Linked DNA regions of Macaca mulatta. The protein of the gene in region 3 interacts with the protein of the main gene of each other region in a biochemical or structural test. Links are inferred from orthologs where the notes say so. Each region holds a gene or a part of one and is shown on either strand. Other genes may lie near its edges.

The links. The genes of interacting proteins can lie anywhere in the genome.
Region 1: the proteins of RAD51 (region 3) and RAD54B form a complex in vitro, tested with the Homo sapiens proteins (2 studies listed by BioGRID). The link is inferred for Macaca mulatta from reciprocal best matches to the Homo sapiens genes RAD51 and RAD54B.
Region 2: the proteins of RAD51 (region 3) and SEM1 form a complex in vitro, tested with the Homo sapiens proteins (2 studies listed by BioGRID). The link is inferred for Macaca mulatta from reciprocal best matches to the Homo sapiens genes RAD51 and SEM1.

The regions. Positions count from the first base shown.
Region 1 is NC_133413.1:104,864,463-104,871,047, forward strand, and holds the start of RAD54B (DNA repair and recombination protein RAD54B), read right to left. Parts: upstream 4,437-6,585; 5' UTR 4,322-4,436; intron 1-4,321. UniProt on the Homo sapiens protein: Involved in DNA repair and mitotic recombination. May play an active role in recombination processes in concert with other members of the RAD52 epistasis group.
Region 2 is NC_133408.1:122,657,324-122,663,814, reverse strand, and holds the start of SEM1 (26S proteasome complex subunit SEM1), read right to left. Parts: upstream 4,437-6,491; 5' UTR 4,305-4,436; coding exon 4,229-4,304; intron 1-4,228. UniProt on the Homo sapiens protein: Component of the 26S proteasome, a multiprotein complex involved in the ATP-dependent degradation of ubiquitinated proteins.
Region 3 is NC_133412.1:18,028,842-18,035,247, forward strand, and holds the start of RAD51 (DNA repair protein RAD51 homolog 1), read left to right. Parts: upstream 1-2,102; 5' UTR 2,103-4,141; intron 4,142-6,406.

The DNA.
Region 1 (6,585 bases), on a different chromosome or scaffold from region 3:
CAGAAGGCTGAAGCATGAGCATCGCTTGAACCTGGGAGGCAGAGGTTGCAGTGAGCCAAGATTGCACCACTGTACTCCAGCCTAGGTGACAGAGCGAGACTCTGTCTCAAAGAAAACAAAGAAAGAAAAAACAATAATCCTGCTAGTATTAATTACAGTAGGGGGAAAAAGGAAAAAGAATGTCTATAATGAAGTACAAGATAAATTATGGTACACCCACACAACAGAACACACTGTCTTCATATACCACCAAAATTGAGTCAGTACTATTCCCCAAGCTAGCCATGTTCTCTTTTTCTCTAGGCTTTGAACAAACTTTCTCTTATATAATGTTGGGAATGCTTTTTCCGACTTTTCTTTGCCTGATTAATTCTACCTTATCCTCTAGAAGTCTTAACCATGAGCCCTCTTCATCTCCTCCCAAAGACTGGACTGGAGGACCTTTCTGCATATGCACTACCCAAGCACTTTTCATACTGCAATGAAATTTGCCCTATCATTCCCCCTGAGCTATTAACTCAGGCATGAAATCTTACATACAATTCATCACTATATTGCCAGTACCAAATACGCAGAAGGAGTTCAGTATTTGTTATGTGAACGATACCATTAATTGGGGCGGGGAGGGGGCAGGGAACAACACTTTAAAAAAATGTTTAATGACATGAGAAATATTTTTTGATAAGTCAAAGGAAAAATGGCGACAAAACATGTCCAGTCTCATTCTAATTTTTAAAAAGAAAAGAAAAAGAAAAAGGATAACGCGTATATGTACATTTAAAAGACTAGAAAGCAAACGAGCATGAGAGAACTTGTTTGAAGTGACAGAAATAATCTATATAAGATTGTAGTGTGGTTACAGGAGTATATATACATCTGTATATCAAAACATCAAAATGTACACATCTAACTGCACACTGTAAATTATACTGCTATAAAGTATATATGTCATATATTAAAATATACAATTGTTTTTTAAAAACTAGAAAAACACATGCCACAATATTAACCGTAATTATTTCTAGGTCTGGTTAGAATAACCAGTAATTTTTATTCTATTCTGAGTTATTTTCTGTATATTTCAAATTTTTTACAATGAAAATATTACCTTTGTAATAGGGAAAAGTATCATGAATTAGATTTTTTAAATTACCATATTTCATCAAATCTAAAATGCCATCAATTGTAAGACATACTCTTGGTTGTTAGTCCATATAAAAGAAATGTTTAAAAGTAAATATTTTAAAAATAAAAATTTTTTTAGTTGTAAGATGTACCATTATTTTATGTATCCAAGAAAAAAAGTGTAGCCAATTGAACTATGATACACTATCATTGATGGTTAGACATTTCCTGATTTCATCAATGTTAAAATGATGAAACATGTAAATATTTTATATATAACCAGCCTTTACATAGTTTGAGGAATGAGTAGTAGAGGTCACTCTCTTCAATTTCTTATTCAACAACAAAATAGATCTCTATTAGTATAATCTTTAATCTTAGAGCAAATTATGAAACAGATGGTTTTTGACTGCTTTAGAAGCAGTATTTGCCAATGCCAGAAGTAAATACAAATTCTGGCCAAACAAGTCATGCCAAAATAACTTCATTAAACTAATTTCCTTTTTATAATGGGTAAGCAGAATACTACAGGTCTCTAAATATATAATTGACACAAGTTTGAAATTGATTAATGGCAACTGTCACAAGAGGACATGGATGTTAGGCCTTGCATTTAGACTCAGTTACTTAATGGTCAAATGAAATAGAACAATAGAAGCTGAAATTTAAAACTAAAGATTTTAGTGACTATAGTTCAACTGAAATAAGATAATGAGCCTTCTTAAACTAATAAATTCTAGATAGCATTAATAAAAATATGATGTCCACATCATTCTGTTCTCTACATTAATCAGACTCCCCTTTAATACTGTGAAAATTCTGACACTTTTTCAAAAGGAACACTTAAAAAAATACAGTAGTTAGAAACATCAACAGTAGAAATGAAGGAAACCAGAGTGTAGTTCAGATTCTGCTATTTCAGGGATGCTTAACTTTGGGGAAGCTATTTAACTCTCTAGACACCAATTTTCTCATTTATAAAATAAAGAATGAACTAGATGCTAAAATTTCTTTCAACACTAAATGTGAAGAATTACTACCCTAAACCCTTCTACATCTAATACATGATTTCTGATTTTTCCACCTTCCTATTTTGTAAACTAATAAAAATGATAATGCAAGCATACAAGCATCATCACAGAGCAGTGATTAAGAAAACAAACTGACTCTGGAGCCAGCCAGGCTGCCTGGCTAGAATCCAAACTGTGCTATTTACATATGACCTTAGGCACCCATCAAGACATTTAATTTGTTGATGCATTTCAAAGTAAAATGCAGAAATCAGTACATTTCCCCCCAAAAGAGTACCGCACCCTTATAGCTTTTTAAACTAGTTCTGTATGTTCATGTTGTCCTGTCCATAATAAATTAATTAATTAATTAATGCTGTCTGAGCCCTTTTCCCAGGTCCTAGAAATAAAGCCATTTGGTAGCCCTGATGTGATGCTACAACTTCTGTAACACCTATTAGCTTCAGTCCTTCCAAGTAAAATGGTAAGGCCAGGCTGACAACTGCAATACACCAGATAGCCACAAGTACTTGGCACTACACTGTGGTAAATAAGAACACAACTTTGAAAGCAAATGCCTGAATATAAATACTGACACTTCCCAATGGTCTTGCACAGTTTACTTAGGCTCCATGTGTCTCAGTTTCCTCATCTTTAAGAGGGGGTACCATAATCATACTTACACACCGGACTGTTGGGAGGATTAAATGAAATATGTAAAGCACTTAAAACAAAACTTGACACATAAGCACTCAATGTTATCTGTAATATTACTATCTATAATTAGTATTATTGGAGAATAGAAATGACGAAGGTCCTGTGGGGGAGATAGAAAAGGGGTAGTTCAACATACAGGACAATGACCAGAATCTTTGGGTTCGTCTGGGCTTTAAAGAGAGGTATGTGCAACCATCAAACGTCTGGGATGCAAGAATGTAAGTAAACCAACTCTACCAAGAACCAGCAACAGTCTTTCCCTGCTGTTTCTGCTTTTCGACTTCCAACTACATTAAGTAGTAATTATCTCACTTCATGCCTTAAGTTGCTCCTTTGAGACTCCGGCTATACAGATGGTTCCTAATTTAGGACGGTTTCACTTAGAATTCTTCAACTTTTAAGAAAGCCATAAGCATTTAGTAGAAACTGTGCAAGTAACCACATAACTGTCTGTGGTCATGATTTTGCCCAACTGTAGATTAAGGTAAGTGTTCTGAGTATGTTTAAGGTAGGCATGAAATCATGTCCTTTACAGCAACATGGGTGCAGCTGGAGGCTATTACCCAAAGCGAATTAAAGCAGAAACAGAAAATCAAATATTGCATGTTCTCACTTATAAATGGGAGCTAAACACTGGGCATTCATGAACATAAAGATGGCAATAATAGACAGTGGGGACAACTAGAAGGGGGAGGAAAGGAGGAGCAAGGGTTCAAAAACTATTGGGTACTATGCTCACTACCTGGGTGACAGGATCAATCGTATCCAAACCTCAGCACCACGTAATATACCGATGCAACAAACCTGCACATGTACTCCCAAATCTAAAATAAACCGCTGAAAATTAATTTTTTTGATAACAAAACTAGGCTAGGCCAAGCTTTAATACTCAGTAGGTTAGCTGTTTTAAATCCATTTTCGACTTAGGATATTTTCAACTCCGTAGTAAGTCGAGAAGCATCTGTACCTACCTAGAAAATCTTTCATAAGGTAATCGATTAAAAGATTTTAAGGAAATACAAGAAAAACCTGACCAGCGAGGAGGTAAAAGTCCCTAAAGAAGGCGTACCGACACTCTCCAGGGCGTTCGCGGAGCCTTCACCCCCTGTTGCTGGGGAAGGGGCTTCCCAGTGCAGGAGTGAGGGAGAGACCCAAACGCCACAGAAGCCTGAGCAAAGCGACAGCAGGGGCGGCCCCAGGGGCCACAGCCCAGAACCATCCCTCGCACACAAACGCACACCTCTACACCCCCACCACCCGCCCTTCGCTCCTAGCCCCCCGGGGCCAGCAGCCAGGGCGTCCCTCGCACTTCAGACCAAAGTTGCAGGCCCGCAGGAGGCCACTTCGGTCGCTCCTGCCTCCTTCCCTCCCTCCTCCCTCGGAGGCCTGCTCCGGCGCCACTCCCTGCTTTGTCCCGCACGAGCCTACAGGCTGTCGCGGCCTCCCGAGCTTCCCCCTCCAGGACGCACCGGCGAAAATCTGACAGAAACCACTGGCCCTGCAAAGAAGCACTTCTGGTAACCAGCGGTCCCCTCGCCACCGGAGAAGCTCAAGGCTCCCGCCTCGGCGAAGCCAATCGCGGACGAGCCCGGTGCGCGTGCGCACTACCTAGCCGCTGCACTGTCCAGTCCTGCCCTACTCTGATTGGACGACCCTATTGCATCACTGCGCATGTACCTTTGCGTTTCCCTTTAAAGGCTTCCAAGTTTGATTCAAGTTTACGGTTCAATTAAAAAAATACCGGTTTCGTGCCTACTTTCAGACACAGTGTAGATGCCGAGGCTACAGATCTCACCATCTGCGTGGATAAGTAATAAATAAGGTATGATTCGGTGTGTGCGATAATAGAAATGCGTGCATCGCAGAGGTATACGATATCCTATTGGTTATTAATTAATCCGAAAAAACATTGACCTAGTGTTGCCTGCAGGATAATTTTCAAACTTTGTTAGGTTCTGGGAATATAGAAATGAATACGTGATTATTAGGCTCTCAGAAAAGGGAAGCCGCCCCCGGACTTGGAAAAGCATTAAAGGATATTAAATAGGAAAGTTACATCATTCAATGAGTATTTGCTTAGCACCTTCTAAGTGCTAGGCGATGACACAGTCAGCTATCCCTGAAAAATGGTATTAGAAAGGCTAATCTGAAAGGATAGAGAATGGCTAAAGGTTGTTTACTGAGTTTTATCCAACAGTTTGACAAAAGTAAAAGCTAAAAAATATCAAGGGTGAAATGAAGATGTGAAACAGTGAGAACTCTTGGGCTGCTGGTAGGAGTGTAAATAGGTACAGCTATTTAAAAGAGTAATTTGAGGCTGGGAGCGGTGGCTCAAGCCTGTAATCCCAGAATTTTGGGAGGCCGAGGGGGGCGGATCACTTGAGGTCAGGAGTTCGAGACTAGCCAGGCCAACATGGTGAAACCCGGTCTCTACTAAAAATATAGCTGGTTTTGGTGGGGCGCGCCTGTAGTCCCAGCTACTCAGCAGACTAAAGCGGGAGAATCGCTTGAACCTGGGAGGTGGAGGCTGCAGTGAACTGAGATGGCGCCACTGCACTCCAGCCTGGGTGGCAGAGAGAGACCCTGTTTCAAAAAAAAAGAAGAATGTGCTCCTTAAGGAGCTTTTATCCTGGGGCTTTTTCCAGTCATAAAGAGCACCTCATAGGTTGAGTTGTGCTTTTGGCAGCTCCCGGAGCCAGGGTTACAAGAATTTGAAATGGGGACCTACCAAGGTTGGGCACCTTGGTAAACTGCATCCCCCTCGTCTTTGGACTGGGACACGTAAAGAGTAAGGGTAACCAGAAAACAAGCTAGCTCTCGTAGTGTCTGCAGCCTACCTTAATATCATCTGGGAAGTTCAGAAAATCTAAAACAGATTGGCTAAAGGTAGCCGGGACATTCCTCTTGCAGATTTGCGTCTGGTTTGCTTGTTCACTTCAGATCATTACTCACATATCAAGTAGTCAAAGGGCCTTATCTGACAGTGTGTTACTCTCTTGTCTCATCTTCTATCTCCCTTACCCTGTTTTATAGATTTTCATCACACTTTCCATTCCCTAACATACACTTACTTGTTTATTGTTTTTCTACTACTCTCAGAATATAAGCTACATGAGGGCAAGATCTTTGCTTTATTCTCTGCTGCACCCATGTGTTTAGAACAGTACTAGTCTTTTTTGCTTTGTTTTGTTTTGTTTTTTGAGACGGAGTCTCACTCTGTCACCCAACTGGAGTGCAGTGGCATGATCTTGACTCACTGCAACCTCTGCCTCCTGGGTTAAAGTGATTCTTCTGCCTCAGCCTCCCAAGCAGCTGGGACTACAGGCATGAACCTCCATGCCCGGCTAATTTTTTTGTATTTTTGGTAGAGACGGGGTTTCACCATATTGGCCAGGCTGGTCTCAAACTCCTGACCTCATGATCCACCCACCTCGGCCTCCTAAAGTGCTGAGATTACAGGCGTGAGCCACTGCGCCCAGCCAGAACAGTACTAGTCTTACAGACTGCACTCAATAAATATTTGTTTATATTTATTTGGAGGCCAAGGCAGGAGGATTGCTTGAGGCCAGGAGTTTGAGAAAAGACCAGCCTGGGCAACATAGTGAGACCCTGCCTCTTAAGAAAAGAAAGAAAGCTGAAAGAAGTGTACACATGAACTCTCTGTTCTGTTTTTGCAAGTGTTCTGCAAGTCAAACATTAGTTCAAGTAAAAAGTTTAAAAAGACCAGGCATGG
Region 2 (6,491 bases), on a different chromosome or scaffold from region 3:
TAACACTGTATTATCCAGAAATTTCTCAAGGGGCCAGAGGGCAGAGAGGTGGGTAGTATTCTGCTCCTGATTTCTTCAGACTATATAGCAATTTCACCTAATACAGAAAAAGTACAGAATACTTAGTATAATCTCACTCTTGTAAATGCTATTGCTGCTGCAGGCAAACTCAATTTCATTCTAAATATTCTAAAACAGCTTCTCTCTCCAAAAAAAAAAAAAAAAAACACTTTCAATTCTGGCACAGGAAGAGAATAAAAGAATCTAAAGGAGCACTTGTTCTTTTCCCTCTTTTACTCGAATCCACATCTAATTGTCAGAGAAACTAATAAAAATATTTTAAAAAATTCTTTCAATAATTTGATACAAAAAAGTAGTCAAAGTTTTAAATAAATTATAGACTACTTCAGTTTTTGACTCTATTACCACCAACCTAACCACATGCTTTGAAAAATGAATTAAGTCGCCCTCTGGTCCTAAAATTCCAACCATTTCAAAGCTCCCAAAATCATATCAAAATCAATCACACCCAGGACCTTGAATGTCTTCCTAATAAAGGCGGTTCTAAATCAGTTTAAGTAGTCAAGAAGTTGGAGGCTGTATATTACAAAGATCTTAAACATGATTTTTTTTAACAGCTCCTGCTTAATTACCAGTAGATTACACACCCACCAATTAGAAAAATTGTGAGGAACTGCCAATGTAGCACCAATTCACAGGCTACAGAATGGGGGAAAAAAATAAAAGCAGCATTTGTACCTTCAGAGACTCCTTCCAGGTGTTGCACTTTACACTGAAGGGCTATTGAGAAGAAACTATGCTGGACATGGTGGCTCATGCCTGTAATCCCAGCACTTTGGGAGGCAGAGGCGGGCAGATCACCTAAGGTCGGGAGTTCGAGACCGGCCTGACCAACATGGAGACACCCCATCTCTACTAAAAATACAAAATTAGCCGGGCGTGGTGGCACATGCCTGTAATCCCAGCTACTTGGGAGGCTGAGGCAGGAGAATCACTTGAACCGGGGAGGGGAGGTTGCAGGGAGCCAAGATCACACCACTGCATTCTAGCCTGGGCAACGAGAGTGAAACTCCATCTCGAACAACCAAAAAAAAAAAAAGAGAGAGAGAGAGAGAGAAGAAACAATAAAATATCCCTTTCCTTAAAATGATTAAATGGACATCCCACCAAACAAATTCTTACACAAGATGGATGTAGCAACACCACTTCCAAAAGGAAGACCCACTCCCAAAAGAAAATCTATTAGTCGAACCATGAGTAATGACTTTCATGTGGCAACCTCTCGGAGCACTGATACTCAACAAAGCCTTTGAAAGTACGATCTGTTATATACACTGCAGAGATGTTCACAGGCTGCCTTAACAACAGCAATTTTAATTTGTATCTGTTAGTGAATTTGTCAACGGCATACTTACAAGAAAAATAATTTTCCAAAGTACAGAAAGAACTTGAAAGTAAATCAGGGCATTAATAATTGAAGTGAAAACTCAAATACCAAAATATTGAAAATAGGTCACTGTTCAAAGTAATACTTTTCAAACTTTAATGTGCAAACATATCTCTTAGGAATCTTGGTAAAGCCCACACTTATTAAGTAGGTCTAGGTTTGAGGAACGATGAGATGCTGCAGTTTTAACAGGCTCCCAGGCAATGCCAAGTCTGCTGTTTCATGGATCACATTTTGAATAGCAACAGACTCTAAACCTTGACTAGACCAAAACATGTCAGAAATGCAGATTCTCAGAAAAGAAATAATTATTTGGTGATATTTTCCCAAGTTTGTTCTTCTTTAGGTTTTGTTATTCATCAGAACAATTTTCATGAGTAAATATTGAGTGGTTTCACCTTGTGGGCTGATTTTCTCACTAACTTAAGAAAAACCTCTCCAAATCATAAACCAGAGAAGAGAAACTTGAACAAAATAGACATTAAAAATGTTTCTCATTCTAAAATGGAAAGTTTCCTGAATGAATTAATTCTACACATTTATATCTGAAGACAACAAACATTCTGTAAGGAGACCCATAAATGGTCAATAACTTAATGTTAATAAACCAGTCTGTTGTGAGTCTTTTGTCCTTAGAATATTTTCTTTGCTTTTCCTTTTACCTTTTTGTTTTGTTTTACTATGTAACTGCTGGCACTTCGAAAAATTGCTGCTCACAGCATAAACTTAGAACAAGCACAAACTACACTAGCAAAAGCTGATGAAAGTTGCTGAAAAAAATCAAGTGTACCATCAGGTACATAGTTATCTCTAGATCGTTTTTAAGCAGTCAATTATCAACTAACTACTCATTTTAAATGCGGGTTCATTCATCATTCATTCAACAAGCATTTATTGACCACCTACTATGTATTAGGCACTCTGCTAAATGCTGCGGATAAAGTTTGGATCAGAGAGACAGACCTTTCAGATTCTGGCTTGGACATAATGGCAAGTTTTGTTTATTTGTTTTTCTTTTTGTCTCTGAGCCTCCATATTCTCAGGGTGATAGTGATAATTAGATTATATAATGTAAATAAAGTGCCTAACATTCCACCCTGTATATGATAATGAACAATGTTATTTGAAGTATGAAGTTTGAGTAAGAAGATCCTACCTTCAATAGGCCAGCTTTCTATGACACAGCTCTACGTTGGCAGATTATGACGCAACTTGAAAGTGAGCTAAAGAAAACATGACTGAACAGATAAATCCATTACCAAAACAAAAAACTAAGAATGCCTACAATACATAATGAATTCCAGAACTGAAAAGAAATGTGCTTTGGGTTAGTTTACGAGTTTCTGTAGCATGTACACTAATGTTCTCTTCCACTAAACAAAGTAACAGTACATTATAAATAGAACAAATGTTCCAGCTATGTGGTTTTACGTACAATAGGATCATGATAGGGTATACAACTTGGGACAATTTTAGTGAAGTAGTAATTGCTTGATGCAACAGGATGTGTACCCCATTAACCACAATTCTCTTTCTACCACCTTCAGAAAGTAATCTCCTTTTCTTATAAGGTAAATATTTACAAGTCCTACTCATCAACCATTAGTCAATAAAGCAGCCTATTTTGAAAACCTAACTGGTAACAGCAATCTCACAAACAGAAGCAGTACAGCTAAAGTTAAGAACTTTGGTGTCAATCAGAACAGGTGTCCCAATTCCACTTCTATTGTTTCTAACTAGTTATGAGACATCAGGAACGTTTCACTCTGAGCTTCAGTTTATCTAAAGAATGGTCTAGGGCATACAGGAAGTAGGCCCTAGTGGAATTTATGAAAGTGGAATATGCTATTACAAGTAAAGCACTTAGACAAGTTCCTGAAAACAGCAGCCACTCAAGAAATGTTAGCAATTTGCTATTACCTACAACAAAAAAACTAAAGGTCTTTAGTTTTGAAACTAAAAAAAAAAAAAAAAAAAAAAAGTGTATTTTTAATTGAAAAAATATATATATTTTTAAAAATATATATTTTATTTTTGTAGGGACAGGGTCTCACTATGTTGCCCAGGCTGGTCTTGAACTCCTGACCTCATGTGATCCTCCTACCTCGGCCTCCCAAACTGCTGGGATTACAGGCCTGAGCCACCATACCCGTCAAGTTGTAGGGTCTTATAAAGCATTAAGTTAGGTCACAGTTAAGTGACAAAAATGGTGAGGAACAGGAGTAAGGCAATAATGTGTATTAAGCACCCAATATCTTACCCTTCTGTCTTACTTAATCAGGCTTCATTTGTAACATCCTAAAAGTTAAGCAGCATTGGCGTAACTACAGACAATTCAATTCTGGAAAGGTTTAAAGGCAAAGAAAGACTGCTAAAACGAAACGAAACGAAACGAAACGAAAAGAAAAGAAAAATAAAAGGAAGTTATGTAGACTTGAACTAAAGTTTAAGTGGTGAGTAACCCAGAGGAACAGTAAAGGGACCAACCATCCCAGACGCGGGGCTATGGGTCCAGACTCACGGTGGCTCCTCCCAGTACGGAAGCTGAGGCCATTGGGCCTCGCCAATGAGTCCCAGAGCGACACCCCAAACCCGACGCTGGGGCGCCACTGAGGGATGAGCGTTAGCGCCTCGAGTGCCGGCCCTGGGAGTCCAAACTTCCCGCCGGTGCCCCCAGCTGGGCCCGACCGACCAAACCACCTCCACACGGAGGCCTGAGTCACCGTTCGCGCGGCACAGAAACCGGGGCACAGCGGTTACCTTCGGCCGGGAACTCTTCAAACTCGTCGTCTTCCTCTAAGAGACCTAAGTCTACGGGTTGCTTTTTCTCTGACATCTCGACCCTCCGCGCCCAACACCTCCCAGATCAGCAGTAAAGTTGGAACCCTCACTCTTCCTCAAGGAAACGCCACCGTCACTGCCGCCTCCGAGGCTGACGCTACCATAGAGACTCGGAGAAGGAACTACGGGAGCAGCGCGAGGAATGCTGGGATACTGGAGGTCGGCCCAGCGCTCCCTGCGGGTTTAGCGAGTTTTCCGAGTTTTTTATATATATATGTATTAAATATATATATATATATATATTTGTCTCTACCACGTAAATCGGACTCTCTGAATTGCCAAAGTTGGGATCCGTGTAGTTTTCCTGACTATAAAAGACTCATAATGTGTAAAACAAACAAAAAAGCCTTTACTTAGTTTGCAACCGAGGAAGGAACTCTAGAGAGACTACAGTCTGACTACAAGCATTCATCAGCCCTTCACATACATTATTACCTCCAGTCCTTAAGCCAGTTCACTAAGGATGGTATTAAATGTCTCCACATCACAGAAAATTCACGTTCAGAAAGAAGCAACGGAAATTACTCAGGTAGTGCTAGACAACCAAAATGCAGATTTTTTTTTGCCTGGCTCCAATCTCCAGACTTTTCCATTAGGCAGTGTTAATCAAGTCTTAGAATTACTTTGTGGTAAATAGCTTTTTAAATAGAATTTGTGTGGTGTGTATGTGTGTGTAGTAACTCTAGTTTACAGGTTATTATACAATAATACTATTTAAATATGGATTTGTGTAACATTTTATGGTGCTAAAAATATATCATTTAGAATTGTTTGAATAGCATTTGAATATCATTCTGAATACAGTAGTGAACTTCATGGAACTCTATATATAATATATGGATGTATATGGATGAATATTATAGAATATACATAATACACAAATTGGGTATTATTGTAAATTTTGATACATGTTCCAGATTATATCTATAAATCCCATTCCTTTATTTAACAATGTTAGGTCATACCGCTTACCAGGAGCTGTGTATCAAACATGTATAGACAAAGTCCCTTTCTTCAAGAAGCTCATATTCTACTCAGAGACATGTAAACGGATAAATCACAATGAAATGCAGTAATCCACTTCAATCTCCATCTTAATATTATGTGAGAAATGAACAGAGTGTTTGGGAATGCAGAAAATGGAGTAATTAAATGTAGAACAAACTTGGCCGAGAACTACAATTAGATGTAATTTTTTTTAAACGTATCTCTTATACTATTTGATTTATATAGATTACTGAAAATAGTGATATCTCACTACCAAAACAATTATGTCAGGTAATGCATATCTTAATTAGTGTGATTTAGTCATTATACAATGTATTTGTATTTTAAAACATGTGCTCCGTAAATATATGCAATTTTTATTTGTCAATTAAAATAATTTTTAAAGAAAGTAAAAAAAAAAGATTTTGCCAAGAAGTCAGAAAACCCAAATTCTAGTTCCCAGACCTGTTATTTAGTTCATTTGATATATGATGAAGTTTGTATCAATCCTTAGCAAAAGAAAAAAATCAACAGCAATATGGTGATTTTTTCCCCCTAAAACTATATTCAATTTAAAGAGAGATTGTTTTTTTCTCTCTTACCTCAAGTTCCACCACCCCTGCCCTTTCTTCCATTGTACTGGTTCTTCCATTGTACTGGTTCATGAAATCCAGAATGCTGAAACTTAAATAACTTCTTATTTCCGATGAGATGGGGAATGTTCAGGGTGGTACAGCCATAGACATTAACTTCTTATTTTAAATGTCATGGCACATGGCACAATGAGCAACTTCGCATTTCAATGGTCATGGCACATGGAATAATTTTAGAAAATGATATTAACAATACATATTTGCAGACCAGTTTGTATTATAAATCCAGGCTCAATTCCTTCTAAAGGGGAGTTTAGACAAATTACTTAATTTATCTGTAATACATGTTGGTTTTTTGCAGTTACAGTTAAGATTAAAGGAGATTATGTATATAATGTGCATAATTCAATGCCTGGCACATAATAAGTGATCAATACATGTTAGCTATTATTAAGTAAGGATATATTTTAAAATATCTCAGATTCTCCTTGTTACCCCTAAAAGTCTCTAAGTGTGTGTTTTGTTTCCTTGATATCTTTTTAATACTTTATGAGGAAGTCAGTCCCTCTAATAATGTATATTTAGTGTTTACTTTGTATCAG
Region 3 (6,406 bases):
TCTAAAGGTGTGGGAAGAACTGGAGGCAAAGGTGTGTAACTTTGATATGGAAGAAAGTTCACTATTATCACAGGTACTATCTATAATCACTAAGTTAGGTTGTTTCTACATCCAGAAAGCTGCCTGAGTCTGTTCTCTCTGTTATTCCTCTAATTCAGAGGACCCCAATGCCCCATTGTAGACCTGTGGCCTGTTAGGAACTGGGCTGAAGAGCAGGAGGTGAGCAGCTGGCAAGCAAGCATTACTGCCTGAGCTCTGCCTCCTATCAGATCAGGGAGAGCATTAGATTCTCACAGGAACTCAAACCCTATTCTTTTGTTTGTTTGTTTGTTTGTTTTTTTGAGACGGAGTCTCGCTCTGTCGCCCAGGCTGGAGTGCAGTGGCCGGATCTCAGCTCACTGCAAGCTCCGCCTTGCGGGTTTACGCCATTCTCCTGCCTCAGCCTCCCGAGTAGCTGGGACTACAGGCGCCCGCCACCTCACCTGGCTATTTTTTTTTTTTTTTTTTTTTTTTTTTGAGACGGAGTCTCGCTCTGCCGCCCAGGCTGGAGTGCAGTGGCGCGATCTCAGCTCACTGCAAGCTCCGCCTCCTGGGTTCACACCATTGTCCTGCCTCAGCCTCCCGAGTAGCTGGGACTACAGGCACCCGCCACCTCGCCCGGCTAGTTTTTTTGTATTTTTTAGTAGATACGGGGTTTCACCGTGTTAGCCAGGATGGTCTCGATCTCCTGACCTCATGATCCGCCCGTCTCGGCCTCTCAAAGTGCTGGGATTACAGGCTTGAGCCACCGCGCCCGGCCTATTTTGTATTTTTTAGTAGAGACGGGGGTTTCACGGGGTTAGCCAGGATGGTCTCCATCTCCTGACCCTGTGATCCGCCCGTCTCGGCCTCCCAAAGTGCTGGGATTACAGGCTTGAGCCACCGCACCTGGCCACAAACCCTATTTTGAACTGCACCTGTGAGGAATCTAGATTGCACACTCCTTATGGGAATCTAACTGATGATCTTGAGGTATAACAGTTTCATTCCAAAACCATTCTCTGCCTCAGGCCCACCCCCCAAGCCCTGTAGAAAACTGTCTTTGATAAAACAGGTCCCTGGTGCCAAAAAGGTAGAATTGGAATCTAATTTAAATCTTCATCTCTTGCCTGAAATATTGCAACAACTTCCTTTTTGCTGTCTTCACTTTCACTCTCCTGAAATCTATTCTTCAATGCCACAGGGTAATAGTGTGAGGATTAAATAAAAACTTTGTCAACTTTAAAGCACTCCACATATATAAAGTAGTAATAAGGCCGTTGCAACGGCTCACACCTGTAATTCCAACACTTTGGGAGGTCAAGGTGGGAGGATCACTTGAGGCCAGGAGTTCAAGGCCAACTTGAACAGAGCGAGACGCTATCTCAAAAATAAAAAAAAAGCCAGGCATGATGGTTCACACCTGTAATTCCAGCACTTTGGGAGGCCAAGGCAGGTGGATCACCTGAGGTCAGGAGTTTGAGACCAGCCTGGCCAACATGGTGAAACCCTGTCTCTACTAAAAATACAAAAAATTAGCTGGGTGTGGTGGCGAGTGCCTAAAATCCCAGTTACTTGGGAGGCTGAGGCATGGAGACTCGCTTGCATCTGGGAGGTAGGGGTTGCAGTGAGCTGAGATCGCATCCCTGCACTCCAGCCTGGGTAACAGAGTGAGACTCCATCTAAAAATAATAATAATAATAATAATAATAACAAATTAGTAATAGTGGAGGGGAAATAGATCTAACCAAATAACTTGTCTTCTTAAAAACTTTCAGTGGGCCGGGCGCGGTGGCTCAAGCCTGTAATCCCAGCACTTTGGGAGGCCGAGACGGGCGGATCACGAGGTCAGGAGATCGAGACCATCCTGGCTAACACGGTGAAACCCCGTCTCTACTAAAAAATACAAAAAACTAGCCGGGCGAGGTGGCTGGCGCCTGTAGTCCCAGCTACTCGGGAGGCTGAGGCAGAATAGCGTAAACCCGGGAGGCGGAGCTTGCAGTGAGCTGAGATCCGGCCACTGCACTCCAGTCTGGGCGACAGACCGAGACTCCGTCTCAAAAAAAAAAAAAAAACAAAAAACAAAACTTTCAGTGATTTATTCAGTACCTAGAGAACAAAGCTCCTTATATATGTATTTTTTGAGACTGAGTCTTGCTCTGTTGCCCAGGCTGGAGTGCAGTGGGGTGATCTCGGCTCACTGCAACCTCCACCTCCCAGGTTCAAGCAATTCTGTGCCTCAGCCTCCCAAGTAGCTGGGATTACTTGCATGCGTCACCACGCCCAGCTACTTTTTGTAGTTTTAGTAGAGATGGGGTTTTGCCATCTTGGCCAGGCTGGTCTTGAACTGACCACGTGATCCACCCACCTTGGCTTCCCAAAGTGCTGGGATTACAGGCTTGAGCCACCGCGCCTGGCCTCTTCTTACATGTTTTGTTGTTGTTGCTTGCTTTTTGGGACAAGATCTCACTCTGTAGCCCAGGTTGGAGTGCAGTGTCCCATCATAGCTCACTGCAGCCTTGACGTCCTGAGCTCAAGCAATCCTCCCACCTCAGCTTCCGGGATAGCTGAGACCACAGGCACAAGCCACCATGCCCAGCTTATTCTTTTTGGAGATATGGGGTCCCACTATGTTGCCCAGGCTGGCCTCCAACTCCTGAGCTCAAGCGATCCTCTCCTGCCTTGGCTTCCCAAAGTGCTGGGATCACAGGCGTGAGCCACTGTGCAGGCCTTATATGATCTTAAGCCTCTTCATATCCTGAACTAAATGTAACTTTCCAGTTTCGGCACTTGTTCTGGCACTTTTCCTCCCTCGCTAGATAATACTAATCTTTAATCATGTAGTTTGTTTCCATGCCCATACTACCCTATCTGCTTATAGTGTCTTCCACTTCGCCCAAGAAATCCTACTCAGCTAGCTTGTGTTGTTTTGAGACACTCTCGTTCTGTCGCCCACGCTGGAGTACAGTGGCGAGATCTCGGTTCGTTGCAACCTCTTCCTCCCGGGTTCAAGCGATTCTCGGCCCTACTCAGCCTTTAAAACCGGAATCACGGGTCAAAACTTTCTGGTAAACCACGAGACGGTTTAGGTTATGAAATTCAATGCCCCCTTCCTCTGAAGTCCTGCAAATCTCCAGTAAAGCACCACAGATTGACGAATATTCCAGCCGTTTCCCTCTCCCCTCCGATAGCTCCATTTCCCACTTCTATCCATCTTCTCGAGCTTCCTCAGCTCCTCCACCTCCATGAGGCCTGGAAAGCACCTGGTTCCAGGAATGTGAGTCGGAGGCTCAGAGCTACCAGCGCCAAAAGCTGACGTTCAGATACTGCTGAAACAAACCACAAGAGTGCTAAGGCTCTAGGTAATAGTCCGGCTCCAGGTAATAGTCCAGCTGGGATGACGGTAGGAACTCGCAGGCCCGCCGGCGGTGCATGCCGGGAGATGCAGTCCCGGGCCGACGCATTACCTCTTGGGAGTTGTAGTCTTCGATCTGGTAAACAGACCACAGCAACTCTGATGTCTTCCCCCACCGTCCCCCGAAAACCCTCGCCCCACCCGCGAGGGACTAGGGTAAGAGTAGGGGCGTTGCCGTGGTTGGCCTAGAACTCCTAGGCTCAGACGATCCTCTCGCCTCGGCCTCCCGAGTTAGCTGGGACTACGCGCGTGAGCCACCGCGCCCGGCATAAAGTCTGAATTAGTCCTTACGCAAAAAGGGAAGAGGGCAGTCCGTAACCTCGCGCAGGATCAAGCTCTCGAGTTCCAGTCTTGGGCTAGCGCGGAGGGCGGAAGGGGCAAGAAGGCGGATCCGGAAGGCGGAGATACGTTACGCCGACGCGGGCGTGACCCTGGGCGAGAGGGTTTGGCGCGAATTCTGAAAGCCGCCGGCGGAGCGCGCCCAGCGACCAGAGACCGACCCTTAAGGAGAGCGCGGCGCTTCCCGAGGCGTGCAGCTGGGAGCTGAAACTCGTCTGGGTTGTGCGCAGAAGGCTAGGGCAAGCGAGTAGACTTGAAGTGGGGCGTAAGCCAGGGGCGTTGGGGTCCGCGCGGGTCAGGCGCGTGTCACCCCCGCAGGGTGAAGTCGGAGCGCGCGGCCCGTTGGAAAGAGCAGCGCTGAGGGCCAAGGTGAGTGTGTGAGGCGCAGGCCGGGCCCTCTATAGCTGCGGCTCGTCGTCGCCCACCTGGGTCCTGGCCGGTCCAATGCTCAGGGGCAGGTGGGGTCTCCGCGCACAGTGTGAAACCCGGACGTGGCAGGGCGTGTCCGCGTCCGACCGACCCTCAGTTGCTGGGGCGAAAACACAGGTGGACCCCAGTCTTTAGAACTAGGGGAGAAACATTAGAGCCTTCATAGCCAACACCCGTTTTATGAGTTTGAGCGAGGAGTCTGAGATCAGAGCGGTGTAGCCACAGCTGTTTAATATCACAGCCAGGGCTTCCGGATTCTTGGTCTGTCTTTCCGTTACACCGTGCTTAGAAAGTACCAACCTGCAATTGCCAAAACAGTATTTTCGTCATCTAATGCGGAAAACCATTCGCATGATGCCTAGAGAATGATCTGAAGTGAGGCTTGGTTTTCTTAAAACTTTTTTTTTTTTTTTTTTTTGAGATGAAGTCTCGCTCTTTAGCCCAGGCTGGAGTGTAGTGGCGCGATCTCGGCTCACTGCAACCTCCGCCTCCCGGGTTCAAGCGATTCTCCTACCTCAGCCTCCCAAGGAGCTGGGATTACAGGCTCCCGCCACCACGACTGGCTGATTTTTGTATTTTTTTTTTTTTTTTTTTTTTTGAGACGGAATCTTGCTCTGTTGCCCAGGCTGGAGTGCAGTGGCCGGATCTCAGCTCACTGCAAGTTCCGCCTCCCGGATTCAGGCCATTCTCCTGCCTCAGCCTCCCGAGTAGCTGGGACTACAGGCGCCCGCCACCTCATCCGGCTAGTTTTTTTTTTTGTATTTTTTAGTAGAGACGGGGTTTCACCGTGTTAGCCAGGATGGTCTCGATCTCCTGACCTCGTGATCCGCCCGTCTCGGCCTCCCAAAGTGCTGGGATTATAGGCTTGAGCCACCGCGCCCGGCCGATTTTTGTATTTTTAGTAGAGACAGGGTTTCACTATGCTGGTCAGGCTGGTGTCGAACTCCTGACCTCAGGTTATCCACCCGCCTCCACCTCCCAAAGTGCTGGGATTACAGGCGTGAGCCACCGCGCCTGGCCCCTGTTTTTTTTTTTTTTTTTTTTTAAACTTCTAAAGTGATATGTAATATACATAAGTGATATGTAATATACATATGTGTAGAAAAATGCACATTCACAACTGTATACAACTCCGTGAATTATTACAAAATATACTGGCCGGGTGTAGTGTCTCAAGTCTGTAGTCCCAGCACTTTAGGAGGTGGAGGCGGGAGGACAATTGAGCCCAAGAGTTCGAGAACAGCCTGGTCAAGATAGTGAGACCAGTATCTCTACAGATAGAAAAAATTAGCCAGGCTTGGTGGTGTGCACCTGTAGGCCCAGCTATTCAGGAGGCTGAGAAGGGAGGATCTAGCCTGGGAAGTATAAGCTGCAGTGAGCCGTGATCAGGCCACTGCACTCCAACCTGGGCGATAGAGCAAGACAAAATGAATGTACACCTACGTAATCACCACTTAATAGAATGGTCCCCAGAAGCCTTCCTTATGTAGTATTTAATATTTTCCCCTTTTTACAGTGGTAACTGGTATACTGGTTTCTAATGCGATTAACTAATGTTGCTCGTTTTTGAATTTTATATAAAAATACATCAGGAGTGTTGAGTGTTTCGTTGTTTTACATGCTTGACAACACGATTTTCAGCCTTTTATATTTTAACTATTCTGGCCGGGCGCGGTGACTCACGCCTGTAATCCCAGCACTTTGGGAGGCTGAGACGTGCGGATCACAAGGTCAGGAGATAGAGACCATCCTGGCTAACATGGTGAAACCCGGTCTCTACTAAAAATACAAAAAAAATTAGCCGGGCGTGGTGGCGAGCGCCCGTAGTCCCAGCTACTGGGGAGGCTGAGGCAGGAGAATTGCAGTGAACCGAGATGCAATGAGTCGGGAGGCGGAGCTTGCAGTGAGCCGAGATGGCGCCACTGCACTCCAGCCTGGGCGACAGAGCAAGACTCCGTCTCAAAAAAAAAAAAAAAAAATTTTTTTTTTTTTTACTATTCTGCTGGTTACACAGTAATGTCTCAATGTGATTTTAATTTTCCTGATTACTAATGAGGTTGGGTATTTGTTCATATGTTTTTCCCATTTGGATATCTTCTGTGATGTACTTGTTCAAATCTCTTGTCTATTTTTCTACTTTTTCTTACTGATGTGAAGTTCTTTTTTTTTTTTTTTTTTTTTTTTTTTTTTTTTTTGTTGAGACAG